Linked DNA regions of Struthio camelus. The protein of the gene in region 1 interacts with the protein of each later gene in a biochemical or structural test. Links are inferred from orthologs where the notes say so. Each region holds a gene or a part of one and is shown on either strand. Other genes may lie near its edges.

Evidence for each region.
Region 2: the proteins of ATF7IP (region 1) and methyl-CpG-binding domain protein 1-like form a complex in vitro, tested with the Homo sapiens proteins (2 studies listed by BioGRID). The link is inferred for Struthio camelus from reciprocal best matches to the Homo sapiens genes ATF7IP and MBD1.

Annotation. Positions count from the first base shown.
Region 1 is NC_090942.1:55,721,429-55,730,850, reverse strand, and holds the start of ATF7IP (activating transcription factor 7-interacting protein 1), read right to left. Parts: upstream 4,353-9,422; 5' UTR 4,171-4,352; intron 4,050-4,170; exon of another isoform or gene 3,829-4,049; intron 1-3,828. UniProt on the Homo sapiens protein: Recruiter that couples transcriptional factors to general transcription apparatus and thereby modulates transcription regulation and chromatin formation. Can both act as an activator or a repressor depending on the context.
Region 2 is NC_090979.1:627,331-636,745, forward strand, and holds the start of methyl-CpG-binding domain protein 1-like, read right to left. Parts: upstream 4,527-9,415; 5' UTR 4,470-4,526; coding exon 4,360-4,469; intron 3,080-4,359; coding exon 2,965-3,079; intron 2,388-2,964; coding exon 2,265-2,387; intron 2,154-2,264; coding exon 2,080-2,153; intron 991-2,079; coding exon 905-990; intron 141-904; coding exon 100-140; intron 1-99. UniProt on the Homo sapiens protein: Transcriptional repressor that binds CpG islands in promoters where the DNA is methylated at position 5 of cytosine within CpG dinucleotides. Binding is abolished by the presence of 7-mG that is produced by DNA damage by methylmethanesulfonate (MMS).

The sequences.
Region 1 (9,422 bases):
CATCACACTATCCAGCAGTGTAAGGCTGACAAAGTACACGATCCAGACCTTCCTGGCTGGAAAATTCATTCAGACTAGAACACAGTACAGTCATCATCTTTGGGATCAACCACCAGGCTTTAATAACCAAAGGAAGATTGAGCTGTAGAAATTCTAAATATGAATTATTACCCAATCCACTTCTAAACATTCATTCAGAGATTAAGGTACTCCACAATTGTCTAATTCAACAAGAGAAGTTGGTTAAGAGATCACTTTGGAGGCCAACCTCATTTTTTCTCTGCTTCTGAATGAGCTGTCAAAACACAAGATCAGAAAACCCCTATCTTACTCTCCATCCTTTAATTTGGATAAGTCATTGCCGCATGATGATCACTGTTTCTTATGATATGATGTAAGCACTTTAACAGAAGAGCCGCTTTTTCATACAATACAGCACACAGTACAATGACCATAAATGAAGTTCCCGAGTTACAAATACACATCGTAAAAATGTCATCGTAAAAATTGTGTTGGGCAGCCTATGAATTCTCAGTCATTATGTAAGCATAGATAAGCCTCTCAAAGTAATGCCATATACTAAAGAGAAGTAAACAGTCTAGCCTTACTGTAAAATTCTTACTGTAAAATATTAACAATCTTAGATTTCACTGCATTTAAGAGTGAGATTCATCAAAATATACTGGGGGGAAAAAAACAACAAAACAAAAAATTCACATTCACATACACAGAAAATATAATAGTTTTACAACTCACAACTTATTTTCTCATCTAATATCCCTTAGGAAAACTACAATGTACATCTGTGACACTGCAGTAATTTCCAAAATAAACATATGACTAGCACACAACATAGAAAAACATTAGGTGGATAGTAAATGCATTAAGATTGTACATTGAGTAAGAATGACAGCAACATACTGAGAAAGTATCTTTTGGCCTTCCTATCTATATTTCATATATATCCTTGAGATTTTTGGCATAAACATAATTTCTGACAGTAAGTCCAGATAAGCCCAGCTAATTATTATTCATACTAAAAAAAAAAAAAATCTAGATTGGGGAAAATTACTCTGCTGTTTTCTTGTTTTGCAAGAAAAATACAACATCTGGTTTGGTCAGCTATTTTTCAATGTGGAAATATCTTTTTTTTTTTTTTTTTTAAAGAAGAAAAGAAGTCTCCCAAAAAATCACAGTCAAGCACACTGAAAAGCACTGCCTTCATTCTCTATGAATCAGTTACTAAAATAGTTTTAAAACATAGTTTAATTTTAAATATTTATTTTACAGAATAGCTAGCATGCAGAGAAACAATTCAACATGTTTTAACATAATTTTCATATCTAAGAAGTTCAGGCTCTTGGCTAGCAACATCATCTCATGCTGGGACAAACTATCTCCCTATTAGACCAAGTTTCCTGTCCTTATCCCCAAACTCTGAAAGCACTGCCAAAGGACCCTTTACAAGAAAATTAACATACTACAGTTCATGTTGAGCTTCTAAATATGTGAAATGGGCATACAAGCCAAAGCAGGAGATATTAGCAAACAATGAAGAATATAGCATATATGCATGTCTACAGGGACTAGCATCTTATTGAAAACAGACTTCATAATAGGTGGGAAATAAGAAATAAAGAGGTCCCACAACAGCAACATTAAATGAACTGTTTTAAATTATGTATATTATTACTGTATTCTCCTATGAATCAATCATGTAAGATCAGTTTCAAACCTATGGAACATTCAAAATAATCTTATTAAATTACTTCATACAACAAAATACAAAACTGTTCCACAAATCATAGGAAGCATTAGTTCAGTATTGCTACACTTTGTAAAAGGTTGCAACTCATAAAAAAATCTGGAAGCAACGTAACAAGTCTACCAAACCAAAATCATAATGATGAGAGCATGAAGATCTCGTAAGATTCTTTGAAAAAGAGTACACATGAGCAGTTACTTGTAAACAGTACCAAAACCACATTTTCTGCATTTTAATTATTTGGCATCTATCTAAAGACTTACTGCTATTAAAAATGAGTAGTGCCATTCTTTTTTGGATTATATGTACCCAAAATCTAAATTTGATACTTCCAGAGCATATAAAAATAACTGCAAGAATTGAGGATAAAAATATTATTTTAGTTGCCAAGATTCGTCAACTGTACAAGTCCTCAAGCAAACATCAGTGAGTGCATTTAATGTTTGTCCTGATAACTACCATTAGTCCCATTTTACAGATGGGCAAACTGAGAAATTACCTACCCAAGATCACATACCACATAACAGCAGGGCACTTTAAAGAGTTTTTTAATATTCAAGATAATACTTTCCTTCATACCTTCCTTTGGGACTGCCCAAAACAGTATCTAATCAGAAAAAAAACCCTATACTTATTTCTTACATTCTTATTAGTTCTCTGTGTACTGATTTCATATCTAGCCTTTTTATACCAGGCTTAAGCAGACATTAAGTACATTCTCTACATTTTATAAACAAAAAGTAAATATAAACTCAGTATTAATAACTGCAATAACTGTATTTAGAACAACCTGTTACAATAGAAGATGGCCTGAAATGTATTTAAACTTGCAAAATAAATCCAGACAGCATGCTTATACAATTTATTGATCTTCTAGATGCAAATTCCCATAAATTCATTCATAAGAACAGTATTTACTTGTATAAAATGGGGAACGTACCAAACATATATTTTCTAAAACATTGTCCTATTTCTGACAATCAGATGCCACATTAAATAAGGTGTCTAGATTTACAAGCGTTTATTTGTCTGTGACTGCACGAAGGCAGCAGTTTTAACCTTAATGACTGTTCCCTAACAGAGTAGGGCTAAGTAATGCTTATCTCCCCCTCTCCATTTTAGATGGACATTTTTCCATCAAAAGAATGCTATCCAACAAGCCTCTCAGTGTTAAGGGTCACACTGACATCACAATATGCAGAGTTATTTCAAGATGACTGTTATGCAACAAAATATTCTAATGCAGGCATATCCACTGGATATCTATCAAGGTCTCATTAGGAGACCTAATTAGAAGGGAATATACCTGCTAAGAGAAAAAAAAACAGTTGAGAACAATGCTACATCTCTAAAATGCTCCAGTGTCACCCCAGAATTAAAATGTAGTATTAAACTAAGATTTCAATTTTTTAAAATACATCGGTATAAAGAAAATTAGAAGATCAAATGTAAATTCTTTATATGAACATACTACACTGTTAACTTAAGCCATTTTGTTCAACACAGGCCTCCAGGACAACCTGAAATAACAATTCTGGCCTTGTTTAGTTCATTTTATAATAAACTACTGACAACATCACATAAATAACGAAGAACTAGCCTATTTTTTTCCCCACTGAAATACCCTCATTTCTACTAAGTTCACAAGCACGCTTGCTTCAGAAACTTTTAGCTGAAATTTTATTAGCATGTTATCGAGCGCAACAAGAAGAACAGTTTTCTACTTGTTGTTTCCACAACCCATCCAACCACGATGCTCAACTTTTAACATCTGCTATACTTAGGAGTATATTCACCAACTACATACACCACCACTTAGGTGATGCTATCCCCAATCCAGACATATGTAAGGTAGTGCTTTCGAGGCACTACACAGCCAGATCCGCCCCTGTCCCACACCTAAACACCCCTCTGGCGTGGTGTAAAAGAGCGCCCCCACCTCACCTGACACATGTACAACAAGAAGACCGAAAGAGGGACAACTGCCTGCTACTTCCAGGCTCATGCTGCCTTACAGGGCTCAATCCAGAATCCGAGCTTTGCCCTGCCCCCATCAGACCTACCTGTGACCCACCGCGGCCGCGGCAGGGAGCGTCGGGGGCGGAGGAGGAAACGTCCCCACACCACGCTCCCCACTTGCCACCACCTCAGTAGAAAAACAGCAACGCGCATGCGCGCCGCCGCCTGCACTGGAGCCGAGTCACGTGCTCCCATGCAGTATGCGCGTAGCTGTGGTGCGCTTGTGAGTGTGGGTGCGTGGCGCGTGTGCAAAGCTGCAGCTCCCGAGCATGCGCACTGCGGCCAGCCCCACAGCCCGAGTCAGCGTTCGGCATAAAGTGCTGCCACTACCCGGCCACAGTGAGAGCGCGACCCGCCGCCCGCAGCCCGAACGGGACGTGCAGTACCTGTGCCTCTGCGTCCTGCGGCAGCCCCTGCCTCAGCGCTCCGGCGGCGGCCGCCGCTCCTGTCTTCTCTCCGCTGCCGCCGTAGATTCAAAATCGGAACCCACTTCAGGCACCAACGCCGCCTCCCCCTGTCGCACGCGCCGGGCCGTTATGCAAATGAGCCGTCTATCCCCTCCCCTCTCCCGGCTGGCCCCGCCCCCTTCGCCGGCACAGGGGCCGGCAGCGGGGGCTGCCTTGCCGCCGGCCAATCGCAGGGCCGGCCATCTTGGCAGCATGCAAATGAGCCGCCGAGTTATTTAAATGAGCAGTTGGCTCCGCCCCTTGGCGGGCGGTTGCCGACGGTTATTCGCGATAACGTGCTGCGGCCAAGGGCGTTTGAGGGTAGAACGAGGCGCGCGCGCGGCGGCTCCGGCTGCGAGGGGGCGCTGCCCCGGCGCGCGGGGGCCCGGGGGGGCAGGGCGGAAGGAGCCGCCTCGCTCTGCCTCTCGCCTTCCCGCCCCAGTGGGACGTGGCTGCTTTGGCCTCTAGGGTATCTCCTCCCTAGCACATGTGAAAAGCCTTACTGAGGGCCTCTGGGTTTCTCAGAAAATAACCTGCATCACCAGCTTCCAGCACCGCTAGCTGCAGCTTCCTTACCTGTCCTGTTGTTAGGTTTTTTGAGCTGTCCTGGGGGTAACCTCAAGTTTTCTTTATGACAGGAAGCACCTGGCCAAAACACAGAGGTTTTCTTAATAGCCGGCTTTGGGTTCGAGGAGTGTCAAGAAACCAAAAAGCGCTGTTAGCAGTACTTGAAGTACATCAGAGGTGCACAGCTTAGCCTGGGTGATCAGCAGGTCAAAATCTGCAGTGACCATTTCCCACTCACCCTCAATTTCTACCTAAAGGGGGCAGGGGGAGAAGAGCATGGGATCTACTTTAATCTGAGCCTTAACTTGGCGCATTCTGTTCTGTGACCAAAAGCAGAAATGAATATTGTCCACAGCTGCTTGAGAGTTAGCTCAACACTAGTTTTGAGACTCAAGTACCTGTTGCCCACTGACTCCGTGATGAAGGGAGAGGCCCTTTCCCTCTGTTTAGGCAAACTGACATTTTTCCTGTTGAAGGCTTAAAATACACAATGAAAAATGGCATCCTGATTTTTCTACTTCAAGAGTGTGCTAAATACACAGCAAGAGTTTTTGTCAGTCATGTGCAGAGCCTGCTGCGTCCCCGTATGTAGTGAAGCAGTACCTATATGGCATAGGCTTTGCAAGGGTTCTGCTAGAAGCACTTTACAGATTGAGCAGCAGGTTTTTAAGATGTTGCCGTTCCCAGTGGGTTGCCTGACGTCTCTGCTGAATGCTTCCACTTACACAGCGAAGATGGCAGCGGGAGATGTGCATGTGCGCCCCATGATTTTGGGCCAGCACATCTACAAAAGTGCTTTGAGTAGGTGTACTAGCCTGGGAACTTGAACAGCCAAAGTGTGAATGGCCATCTTGCTCTGCTGTCCCTGCAGCAGGCATGGCAGTTTCTGGCAGGAAGTGTGGCAGACACCTGAGACAATAATTTCTAAAATTTTCACAGCTAGCTTTATCAGAGCTCCTGGAGCTCTAGGTCAGTACTAGAATGTTTTATCTTGGAAAATGGGAGGTTTGGATTTTAGTTGAGTCTTCTGTGCTTTTGCACACAAGCAGAGGACAGGATATTTCAGGTAGAAAAGGCTAGAACTATCCAGAAGTGGGCAACTACTAGCTGTACCTATTATTTAACTTGCATTTCACTGCTGGTGAGCACTTTTACAGCATCCATGCATAAACATCCTTTGAGATCAATCAGGAGTAAAAACTTTCAGGCTAAGATGCATATTCTCAGAAGATTGGATATTAATATAATCATCTCTTTGGATAACAATTGGTGGTATTCCAAACTTGATTTAGTACGGAAGCCCTTACAGCAACATAGTATTTTTTCCACTGCAATGCATTTCATGTACCTGAAGGAAGAATGAGGAGGGAGGATTTGTCACCCTAAAGAATATACAGTTTATTAAGTGTGCATTTAGGTGTGAATTTGCTGCTATTAGCTTGTTATTTTGTCACAGATAAATAGAAAACATAGAAATGCAACATGAAATGAATGTTTATAAAAATCTTTCTTGGCTCTCTGAGGAAAGGATAGTAGCAAAAATCTGAATGCCTCAAAGAAATCTTATTTGTCGATCCCAGTATCTGTTTCGACTGATCACAGGACATAGCTTAATCAGCTTTAGAAGACCAACTGACTACTAAGAGAAGAGGTGGAATGCTGTTGATTATGGTTGTCCCCAGACTTTAGATGGCGGACAATCTCTGAAGCGTTTATAAGTCTAATAATATGCCACTGTTCTTTCAAGTTCCAAAGATTCCAGGTGTCCAAAGTTTGTATTTTGTCCACAGCAAACAGAAACTGAGAAATCTTGGAAAGAAGTTCAGAGAGCCAAGTTTGTAATGAAATACAGAAATACGAAAGTTGCATAACACTTAATCTTACGCTTAATAGCATGGGAAGTTTGTGCAAGGCCCAGTAGACCAAAAGCTATTTTTAAAGAACTACTCATAAATATTTCAAATACTGTTTAGGGAGCATTTTTTAATATTAGCCATTTACCAACAAATTAAACATTTCAAGGGTGACAAGACACAAATATATTCAAAGTTTTATATGGAACTGCCTTTAACTTGTTGTACGCCTACTTTTTGGAAAGACAGAACATGAGCTTGTACTTCAGCAAAGAGTTGTGGCAAAGACAAAAGTGGACTTTAAAAACTTCCTTTGCTCCATAACAGTTACAGAAAGACAAACTATTAAACAACCAGCCAAAACCAGGTAATTTTTTTTTTCAGAGCTACTAACTGTTGGTCACTAAAGACAGTAAAGATTAAAAGGAAATCAGTATCAAAACAATTATTTCTTAAAGGGGAAAGATTTAATTCCTCTTTTACCTAGCACAAATTATGCTAATATGTTCATTATGGTATCATACCATACCCATTTTCTATCATTTAAATGTTTCAGATTATTTGTCATTTCTTCAAAAATGGTTTTATGGAAAAACTAAAAAATATTCCTAGTCATTTTATTGAATGTGGTTTTTTTAGCTTCTTTCTCAGGCAATAATCCTGTTGAGCCTTAACAGCAAACAAACAAACAAACAAACCCCCCAAAAACAAAACTGTACTTTATTTGTTCACTTAGTCCACAGTTGTATTAATTCAATGCTATAGTTGATACAGTAAGTGCCCTGCAATGACATTTGAGATACCAATATAAGCGGCGAGTTAACATCTTTAAATTTTAAGAGCAATGACAATGTCTAAATTGTCAGCTCAGTAATTTGAGGAAGGCAAAGTCCAGATTTCTGTTAACTGCTCTTGCTGAAGTCAGATTGGTTATAAATGCAAAATAGTGACTGTGTATCAGTTTATACTGCTCAGATTATTTGTAAGAAGAAAGTTAAAATAAACAATCATTGAGAATATATGACTTCAGTGACATTTCTTTATTTGAAAAATTCCTTTTTTGCTGAGAACAGTGATGCGTAATGCAAATACTTCACTGGAGTTAAATTTACAAGATACTAAACTTGCAACACCATAAAAGAGTAGTTGTCCGTGTAGTTCACTTTCCTGTCTGAGGAATCTGCTAAGGTATTCAGACATTGCAATAATAAGCACAGAGAAAAAGACCAATAGATTCTAATGTGCTTGGAAAAAAGAAAATTATACTATTTTATGTGCAACAGAGAATTTCATCTTCATGTCCTCAGACACTGAATTTCAGTCTTGGTGTATGCACATAACATTTAATTTTCTTATATCCACATAACTGCTAAAGGGTGGTTCCCAGCCTGTGAACAACAGATCACTAATAAGCTGATTACATGATGCTTTCTATACTTGAAATTGTTTTAGTAAAACGAGGCTTGATACCTTGAATATTTCCCAATATTACTCCTCTCCATATGATTTAATAACTGCTAATGGAGATGTTGCAGAGTCACAAATGGGAAACCTAAAAGGAAGCATGTAAATTGATGCACAGAAGAGGTGTAGCTCTCAGGATGAAAATGAACTTTATATATATAGAAAATGATTGTCTTTTTAAAAAATCAAAATGTCATGATAAATGGTTAGTTATATGGAAAAAAGTACCCATTTTATTTTTTAAATAATTGCTGGAAAGTATGTAATTGCACAAGATCACCTTGATAAATAAATGACACTTTTAAGCCAATACATTTATGTTAATTTTCTTGGTAATGGAGTAGAGTAATAAATATTTTCTTGCACAGTAAAAGCCTAATAGGATGGAATGATTAAGACTTCTCTGATTATAAATAGTCTTACACAGGGTGAAAGAAACACTGTAATATCAGAAAATAATAGTGAGTTTTCCAAGTTTTTGTTCACTAACAAAAATATGTACAGTGAGAAAAAAAAAAACATACCTATTTGACAATGTAACCTGTGATTTAGTGACTCAAGAATTTCAAGAATTTCACCAGGGAGGCTTAAAACATAGCTCAAAAGGGAACTGCATGATACCCTTCTGATGAAGAAAAGCAAAGAGAGGATTTTTTAAAATTCCTTTTTACTATAAGTGCACATCTCTTTTTTTTCATACAAAAACTTACAGCACAGCCAGCAGGATGAAATTGTGAAAATAAGGCTTTTACTAGACTTTTTTTAAAAGTTAAACTTAACAGCATACAAAGATCACAAGCCTGGTAAAATGTAACCAAAACATCTGAGGAATTTTCCCTATAATGAACTGAAATTATTTAAGGCATTTTCATGTGGGTTACTTTTCACTGTAGATACCTTCCAATTACATGACTTTTGTAAAATACGCTAATATTATCTTTCTATTACTTTTAGGGGTCATAAGAGAAAGGATTTTGGGAAAAAGCCTTTAACCGCTCTATTCCTCTCAGATTTAATAATAATAGTTTTAATAATAAATTTACTAACCATCAAGTAAGTACTCTGCTGCACAGCTGTTCTCTCGTCAAAACTTACTCTGTTATGACTTTGCTGTATTACCTAGCCCATCTATTTACTGAGCAGATGTGTTTAGGTTTGTTAAGCACCTAGCAGTCTTTTTTCTCTGTTCTGAGTTGTCCTCTCACTTTACTACCTTCCACCTCACTTAATAATATAACAAACTAGATCAAACTTCACCTCTGTTTTTAATAAGAAAATTGTAATTTTGTAAGCCTCTGTACCAACAAG
Region 2 (9,415 bases), on another chromosome or scaffold:
ACACACACGCGCACGCGGGGCCGCGGCGCCCGGCGGTGCGGTGGGGGGTGGGGGGGGAGGCCCTGTGCGTCCCCGTCCCCCCAAAACGTCCCCTCCTACCTTGAAGAACCGCTGCTCCCGGTTGAAGTCTCGTCTCTGGGCTGGGGGAGGAGGGAGGGAAACGGGGGGGGGAGGGGGGTCAGGGTGGGGGGTGCCCTGATCCCCCCCCGCCCCGGGGCACCCAGGCAGGAGGAGGAGGAAGGGGAGGAAGGCTCCCGGGACCCCAAGGAGGAGGGGGAGGGGGAGGAAGGCTCCCGAGACCCCGAGGAGGAGGGGGAGGGGGAGGGGGAGGAAGGCTCACAGGACCCCGAGGAGTGAGGAGGAGGAGGGGGAGGGTGAGGAAGGCTCCCGGGACCCCGAGGAGGAGGAGGAGAAGGAGGATGACGAAGGCTCCCGGAACCCTCCCTAGGAGCGAGGAGGAGGAGGAGGAGGAAGGCTCCGCGGGGACCCCCCCTAGGAGCGAGGAGGAGGAGGAGGAGGAGGAAGGCTCCGCAGGGACCCCCCCTAGGAGCGAGGAGGAGGAGGAGGAGGAGGAAGGCTCCGCAGGGACCCCCCCTAGGAGCGAGGAGGAGGAGGAGGAGGAGGAGGAAGGCTCCGCAGGGACCCCCCCTAGGAGCGAGGAGGAGAAGGAGGAGGAGGAAGGCTCCGCAGGGACCCCCCCTAGGAGCGAGGAGGAGGAGGAGGAGGAGGAAGGCTCCGCAGGGACCCCCCCTAGGAGCGAGGAGGAGGAGGAGGAGGAGGAGGAAGGCTCCGCAGGGACCCCCCCTAGGAGCGAGGAGGAGGAGGAGGAGGAGGAAGGCTCCGCAGGGACCCCCCCTAGGAGCGAGGAGGAGGAGGAGGAGGAGCGGGGGGGAGGAAGGCTCACCGCGGCACTCGGGGCAGAGCCAGCGGCACCGGCGCTGGCTGGGCAGCGTCACCCCGGGGAAGAGGCTCTGGCAGCTGGCGCAGCACCTGCGGCACCGGGACCCAGGCGTCCGGGACCCCTCCCCCCCCACCCCAAAACGAGGGGGCCGGGAGTCACCCCTCCCCCCAACCAGAGCCCCAGGCATCCGGGTATCCCCCCAAAAGAAGGGACCCAGGCGTCCGGGACGCCCCCGTAGAGACCCACGTGTCTTTTGAAAGAAAGGGCCCAGGAGTCCGGGAACCACCCCCCCCCCCACTACCAGGGGCCCAGGCGTCCGGGACCTGGCCCCAGGGGTCTGGGATCCCCCCCCCCCCCCACTACCAGGGGCCCAGGCGTCCGGGACCTGGCCCCAGGGGTCTGGGATCCCCCCCCCCCCCCACTACCAGGGGCCCAGGCGTCCGGGACCTGGCCCCAGGGGTCTGGGATCCCCCCCCCCCCCCCACCTACCAGGGGCCCAGGCGTCCGGGACCTGGCCCCAGGGGTCTGGGATCCGCCCCCCCTCCCCACCAGGGGCCCAGGCGTCCGGGACCTGGCCCCAGGGGTCTGGGATCCGCCCCCCCTCCCCACCAGGGGCCCAGGCATCCGGGACCTGGCCCCAGGGGTCTGGGATCCCCCCCCCCTCCCCACCAGGGGCCCAGGCGTCCGGGACCTGGCCCCAGGGGTCTGGGATCCCCCCCCCTCCCCACCAGGGGCCCAGGCGTCCGGGACCTGGCCCCAGGGGTCTGGGATCCCCCCCCCCTCCCCACCAGGGGCCCAGGCGTCCGGGACCTGGCCCCAGGGGTCTGGGATCCCCCCCCCCCCCCACCAGGGGCCCAGGCGTCCGGGACCTGGCCCCAGGGGTCTGGGATCCCCCCCCCTCCCCACCAGGGGCCCAGGCGTCCGGGACCTGGCCCCAGGGGTCTGGGATCCCCCCCCCCCTCCCCACCAGGGGCCCAGGCGTCCGGGACACCCCCGCCCCCCGCAGTGACTCAGGTGTCCCCCCAAAGAAGGGGCCCAGGCGTCCGGGATGCCCCCCACCAAGCACCGAGGCGTCCGGGACCCCCTCCCCCCTCCCCGCAGGCGTCCGAGAGCGCCGCCCCCCCCCCCGCAAAGCCCCACCCCCCTCCCCCCAGGGGCCCCGGCGTCCCCGCACTCACGCCACCACGCGGTCCTGGGGGGGCTCCGGGGGGGGCCGCTTGCGGGTGCGCCGGGGGAGGGCGGGGGGCGGCGGGGGGGGAGGGGAGGGGGGCGGGGGGGCGGCGGCCGGGGCGGGGGAGGGGGGCAGCAGCAGCAGGGGGGCGCCGGCGGGCGAGGGGGAGGGGGGCGGCGGCCCGGCTGCTGCCGCCGCGGCAGGGGGGGGCGGCAGGGGCGGGGGGGCCGGGGCGCCCCCCTCCCCCGCCGGCCCCTCCTCCGCCGGCGCCAGGGGGGGCGCCGGGGGCGGGCGCCACTTGGGGCCCTTCCTGGCCTGGGGGGGGGGGGGGAAGAGAAGGGTTAACGGGGGGGGGGCAGGGCAAGTTTGGGGACCCCTCCAGTTGGCCCCGCCCATCTTAACCCACCCCCCCCAGCCCCCAAATTTGAGGCCCCCCCATTTTGGGACCACCTCCCTCCATTTTGGGGCACCCCCAGCCCCCATTTTGGCAGCCCCCCCATTTTGGGAGACCCCCTCAGCCCCCATTTACGACCCCCCTCCATTTTAGTGACCCCCCCACACCCCCCATTTTGGGCTCTCTCCAATTTCAGCCCCCTCCCAGCTCCCATTTGGGATCCCCCTATTTTGCCCCCCCCCCAATTTTTTGGGACCAGCCCCCATTTTGGGGCCAGTCCCCCCCCCCAACACCCCAGGGCGCTCCAGCCCCACCCCCAGCACCCAGATAACCCCCCCCAACCCCTCAGGGTGCCCACTTCCCCCCACCCCCATTTTGCCCCTCTGCGCACCGCAGCCTCCCCCGCCGGCTGTGGGGCCCCCCCTTCCCCTCTCCTGGGTGCCCCCCCCCCACGTTTCGGGGGTGTCCCCCCCCCCTCCCCGGGTTTCGGGGGCGCACCTTGACAGCGCCGGGGCGCTCCAGGCCGTGCTTGAAGTCAAAGTTGCCGAGGTCCCGGCCCGGCCCCAGGAACCGGCTCAGCTCGATCTTGCTGCGAAACTTCTCCCCTGTGGGGCTGCGGCCGGCACGTCAGCACGGGGGGGGGGGGCCCAAAACGCGGGGGCCCCCCCAATCCCCCCTTTGCTCCCTCCATACCCAGGGAGCCCCCAAACCCGGGGGGGGGCAGCCTTGAAACCTCTCGAAGGGGAACCTTGAAACCGCCAAGGTTGGGAAGGGAACAGCCTGGGGAGCCCCAAGTGCTGGGGGGGGGGGATGTTGAAGGGGTCCCCAAAAACCCCTGCCCTTCCCCAAAATCCGGGGAGCCCCTCAAAACTGGGGGAGACCAAAACACCCGGGGGGGGGGGCCTCGAAACCATCCAGGAGGAACAAGGACAAAGCCTTGAAACCACCAAGAAAAGTTAAGGGAAGGTGGGAAACAGCCTGGGGAGTCCCAGAAGTGAGGGGGTGGGGGAGCAAGGGGGACCTCAAAACACCGAGGGGGGCCCCAAAACCCCCTGGGGCCCCCCAAAAACCCCGGGAGCCTCCCCAAAGCAAGGGGAGCCCAAAAACACTCAGGGAGGCCCTTGAAACCAACCACAGATGAAAGAAAAACCCTTAAAACCACCAAAAGAAACTGGGGTGGGAGGGGGCTGGAGGGCTTGGGAAGCCCCAGAAGCAATGAGGGGGATCTGGGGGTGCCCCCAAAACCCTGAGACCCCCCAAAAAACAGGCAGCCCCCCCAAATCAGGGAGAGCCCCAAAACACCTGAGGGAGGGGCTCTTGAAACCACCCAAACACAAAAGCTCGAAACCGCCCAGGAAAGCTCTGCAGGGGGGAAAAAGGGCCTGGCAGCCCCAAAAATGATGGAAAAGGTATCGGGTTGGGGGGGGGGGCAAAAACCCAGGGGAACCCTAAGAGCTTTGGGGGGAGGTGAAATTGCCTGGGGGACCCTGAAACCGGCGGGGGGCCTTGAAACCACCAGGAGAGATTTGAGGGGGATTGAAACCACCAGGGGAGCCCCAAAACTGCAGAAAGCCCATTGAAACAGTGGGGCGGAACTTCGTGTATTGGGGGGGGGGAAGAGGGGGAAGGAGGCAGGCACACGGGGGGGATCCCCTCCCCCAAATCAGGGGTGGGGGTGGAGCCAGGGGCGGGGCTAGGCCTGGCCCCACCCCACCCCCAAGCTTGGTACCCTGGGTAGAGGGGGGGGGGGATACCCGGACACCTGGGTCCCTTCCCGGCTTTGCGAAGCACCTCGGACGCCTGGGCCCCCGCCCCGGGGTGTGGGGAGGGCGGGGCGGGGCAGGACCCAAGCGTCCGGGGAGGGACCCAGGCGTCCGGGCAGGGCCCTCCTACCTCTGGTAGTAGGTGTCGGTGCGGCCGCAGGTGGCCCCGGACTTGCGGAAAGCCTCGCGCCGCTTCCAGCCGGGCCCCAGCGCGGGGCAGTCGACCCAGCCCTCCGCCATGGCGCTGCCGGCGGCGGCGGGGGGGGGCTGGAGCGGGGGGGGGGCTCTGCCGGGCTACTGCGGGGCCGGGAGGGGGGGGGGGGGCTCAGCTGGGACCCAGGCGTCCGGGCTGGCCCTTCTGCCAAGCCCCGCCCCCAAGCGGCCAGGCCCCGCCCCCGAGCGACTTGCCCCCGAGCGGCCCCGCCCCCCCCGGCTCGCATCCCCCCCCTCCCCCACACCAACAGGGCCCAAACCGCCCCCCCCCCCGCACTAAGTGCCCTTTTCTCTCGCAAATTGCCCCAAAACTGCCCCAAATCACCCCCTCCCCTGCATTAACTGCCCCCAAACCGACCCCTCCCCAGCAGTAAGTGCCCTGTTCTCTCAGAAACTGCCCCCCGCCCCCACTAACTGCCCCAAAACAGCCCCTCCCCCTCACACATTGCCCTTTTCCCTCACTAACTGCCCCAAACCACCCCCTCCCCCTCACTAGCTGCCCTTTTCCCTCACTAACTGCCCCAAAACCGCCCCAGCCCCACCAGGAAGTGCCCTCTTCCCTCGCTAGCTGCCCCAAAACTGCCCCCTCCCCCTCACTAACTGCCCTTTTCCTTCACTAACTGCCCCAAACTGCCCCCCGCCCCTCACTAACTGCCCTTTTCCCTCGCAAACCGCCCCCAAACCGCCCCTCCCCCTCACTAACCACCCTTTTCCCCTCATAAACCGCCCCAAAACCGCCCCCTCCCCCCCAAACCACCCCTGCCCCTCACTAACTGCCCTTTTCCCCTCAAACCGCCCCAAAACCGCCCCCTCCCCCTCACTAACTGCCATCTTCTCCTCACAAACTGCCCCAAAACTGGCCCAAACCGCCCCCTCCCCCTCACTAACTCCCCTTTTCCTTCACAAACAGCCCCAAAACCTGCCTCCACCCCTGCTAACTGCCCTTTTCCCTCACTAACTGCCCCCAAACTGCCCCCTCCCCCTCACTAACTGCCCTTTACCCCTCACTAACTGCCCCAAAACAGCCCCTCTCTCACTAACTGCCCCAAAACTGCCCCAAAACAGCCCCTCCCCCTCACTAACTGCCCTTTTCCCTCACTAACTGCCCCAAACTGCCCCCTCCCCCTCACTAACTGCCCCAAAACTGCCCCCTCCCCCTCACTAACTGCCCCAGAACTGCCCCAAAACCGACCCCTCCCCCTCACTAGTTGCCCTTTTCCCTCACAAACTGCCCCAAAACTGCCCCTTTCCCTCAAGACTGCCCTTTTCCTTCACTAACTGCCCCAAACCGCCCCCAAACCGCCCCCTCCCCCTCACTAGCTGCCCTTTTCCCTCACTAACTGCCCCAAACCGCCCCCTCCCCCTCACTAACTGCCCTTTTCCCTCACAAACTGCCCCAAACTGCCCCCTCCCCCTCACTAACTGCCCCAAAACAGCCCCTCCCCCTCACTAACTGCCCCAGAACTGCCCCAAAACCGAACCCTCCCCCTCACTAGCTGCCCTTTTCCCTCACAAACTGCCCCAAACCGCCCCCTCCCCCTCACTAGTTGCCCTTTTCCCTCACAAACCGCCCCAAACCGCCCCCTCCCCCTCACTAGTTGCCCTTTTCCCTCACAAACTGCCCCAAACCGCCCCCTCCCCCTCACTAGCTGCCCTTTTCCCTCACAAACTGCCCCAAACCGCCCCCTCCCCCTCACTAACTGCCCTTTTCCCTCACTAACTGCCCCAAACCGCCCCCTCCCCCTCACTAGTTGCCCTTTTCCCTCACAAACCGCCCCAAACCGCCCCCAAACCGCCCCCTCCCCCTCACTAACCGCCCCAGAACTGCCCCCGGCCCCTCCGTAACCGCCCCTCCCCCCCCCACACACACTAACTGCCCTTTTCCCCTCCCAAACCGCCCCCCGACCGCCCCTCCCCCTCCCAAACCGCCCCCCGACCGCCCCCTCCCCCCGCCGCCCGGTACCGGCCGGGGCGCGGCCCCCGCGGCGCGCGCGCGCTCCGCCATGGCGCGGCCCCGCTCGTGGCGCAGCAACGGCCGCCGCCGGCGCGAGGGCACCGCGGCCAGGGGAGGGGAGGGGCCGCGCCGCGCGCCGGAAGCGGAAGCGAAGCCGCCCCGCCGCTGCCTCTGATTGGCTGGTGGGTCGGGGGAAGCTGGTGGTGGGGAGGGGGGGGGAGAAGGGGAGGAGGCGCACGTGACGCCGCCGCGGCCAATGGGAGGGCGGCGCGGGGGAAGGGGCGGGGCCTCCCCCCTCCTTCCCTCTTCCTTCCAATGGGCGGGAGGGAGCGAGCACGTGACGGCAGCGCGGTCACCTGAACCGCCACCACCACCCCACACGGCTGGGAGGGGGCGGAGCTATGCAAATGAGCGCGGCGGGGGGCGGACCACGTGGCGCCGGCCGCTTCCCTTCCCCCCCGCCCCGCCGCCAATATCCCCGCGGGAGCCCGCGCCGTCGGACACGTGACCGCGGGGCGAGGGGGGGGCGTGGCTATGCTAATAAGCACCGCGGACAAGCCGTGCGGGGCGTGGCTACGCTAATGAGCAGCGCGGTCGGCCCGCTCGGGGGCGGGGCTATGCAAATGAGCGGCGGCACTGAGTCGCCGAGGGCGTGGCTACGCAAATGAGCGTCGTACCGAGCGCTGGTCGGTCCCGCCCGGGGGGCGGGGCTATGCTAATGAGCGGCGCCCCCCCCCCCTCCAAAGCCACCGGGACCCCCCGAAATCCAGGAAAAAAACCACTTTCAACACCAATTTTATTGTGGGGGGGTGGAAGGCCCCCCTCTCCCCTAGAACCCCCCCAAAAGTGGGTAGGGGGCCCTAATAGGGGGGCTCAGGACCCCCAAAATTGGGTGGGGGGGTCTTAACGGGGGGGGCTCAGGACCCCCAAAGTTGGGTGAGACCCCCCCAAATTGGGTGGGGGGGTCTTAAAGGGGGGCCCAGGACCCCCAAAATTGGGTGAGATCCCCCCGAAAGTGGGTAGGGGGGCTCAGGACCCCCAAAATTAGGTGAGATCACTCCAAACTAGGTGGAGGGGTCTTAAGGGGGGGCTCAGGACCCTCAAAATTGGGTGAGATCCCCCCCAAAAGGGGGTAGGGGGGTTCAGGACCCCAAAATTGGGCAGGAACCCCCAAAATTGGGTGGTGAGGGTCTTAAAGGGGGGCCCAGGACCCCCAAAATTGGGTGAGACCCCCCCAAAAGTGGGTGGGGGGGTCTTAAGGGGGCTCAGGACCCCCAAAATTGGGTGAGATCCCCCCCCAAAAGGGGGTAGGGGGGTTCAGCACCCCAAAATTGGGTGGTGGGGGTCTTAAAGGGGGGCTCAGGACCCCCAAAATTGGGTGAGATTCCCCCCCCCAAACTAGGTGCGAGTGGGACCTCAGGACCCTGAAATTGGGCAGGGACCCCCAAAACTGGGTGAGAACCCCCCAAACTGGGTGGGGGGGTCTCAAGGGGGGCCTCAGGACCCCCCAAATTGGGGGAGACCTCCCCAAAAGGGGGTGGGGGGTTCAGGACCCCTAAATTGGGCAGAACCCCCCCCCCGGGACCCCCCCAAAGTTGGGTGGTGGAGCCCTAAGGGGGGGGGCTCAGGACCCCTAAAATTGGGTGAGATCCCCCAAAATTGGGTGGGGGGGCATTAAGGGGGGGCTCAGGACACTCAAAATGGGGTGAGACCCCCCAAAATTGGGGGGGGGAGCTCAGGACCCCAAAAATAGGGCAAGACCCGCCCCAAAATCAGGTGGGGGGGTGCAGATGGGCTGTTCAGGGGGGGTTTAGGGGCCGGGGGGGTCGTGGGGAGGGGGCAGGGGGAGGTTTTGGGGTAGATTCCGGCGGTTTTGGGGGCGTCAGGCGGCGGCGACGGTGCGCAGGGCGGTGGTGAGCGGCGCCGAGCGGGCCGCGGGGGACCCGGGGGGCGATTTGGGGCGGAAGGAGGCGGAAGGGGGGGGCGGGGGGTTCGGGGGGGTTTCGGGGGCAGTTCGGGGGGGGTTTTGGGGGTGTTGCCGGGTGTTTCGGGACCGTCAGGCGGCGGCGACGGTGCGCAGGGCGGTGGTGAGCGGCGCCGAGCGGGCCGCGGGGGACACGGGGGGCGATTTGGGGCGGAAGGAGGCGGAAGGGGGGGGCGAGGGGTTCGGGGGGGGTTCGGGGGCGGTTCCGGGGGGGTTTTGGGGGTGTTGCCGGGTGTTTCGGGACCGTCAGCGGTCGGCGGCGGTGCGCAGGGCGGTGGTGAGCGGCGCCGAGCGGGCCGCGGGGGACACGGGGGGCGATTTGGGGCAGAAGGAGGCGGAAGGGGGGGGCGGGGGGTTCGGGGGGGTTTCGGGGGCGGTTCCGGGGGGGTTTTGGGGGTGTTGCCGGGTGTTTCGGGACCGTCAGGCGGCGGCGACGGTGCGCAGGGCGGTGGTGAGCGGCGCCGAGCGGGCCGCGGGGGACACGGGGGGCGATTTGGGGCGGAAGGAGGCGGAAGGGGGGGGCGGGGGGTTCGGGGGGGGTTCGGGGGCGGTTCCGGGGGGGTTTTGGGGGTGTTGCCGGGTGTTTCGGGACCGTCAGGCGGCGGCGACGGTGCGCAGGGCGGTGGTGAGCGGCGCCGAGCGGGCCGCGGGGGACACGGGGGGCGATTTGGGGCAGAAGGAGGCGGAAGGGGGGGGCGGGGGGTTCGGGGGGGGTTCGGGGGCGGTTCCGGGGGGGTTTTGGGGGTGTTGCCGGGTGTTTCGGGACCGTCAGGCGGCGGCGACGGTGCGCAGGGCGGTGGTGAGCGGCGCCGAGCGGGCCGCGGGGGACACGGGGGGCGATTTGGGGCGGAAGGAGGCGGAAGGGGGGGGCGGGGGGTTCGGGGGGGTTTCGGGGGGGGTTCCGGGGGGGTTTTGGGGGTGTTGCCGGGTGTTTCGGGACCGTCAGGCGGCGGCGACGGTGCGCAGGGCGGTGGTGAGCGGCGCCGAGCGGGCCGCGGGGGACACGGGGGGCGATTTGGGGCAGAAGGAGGCGGA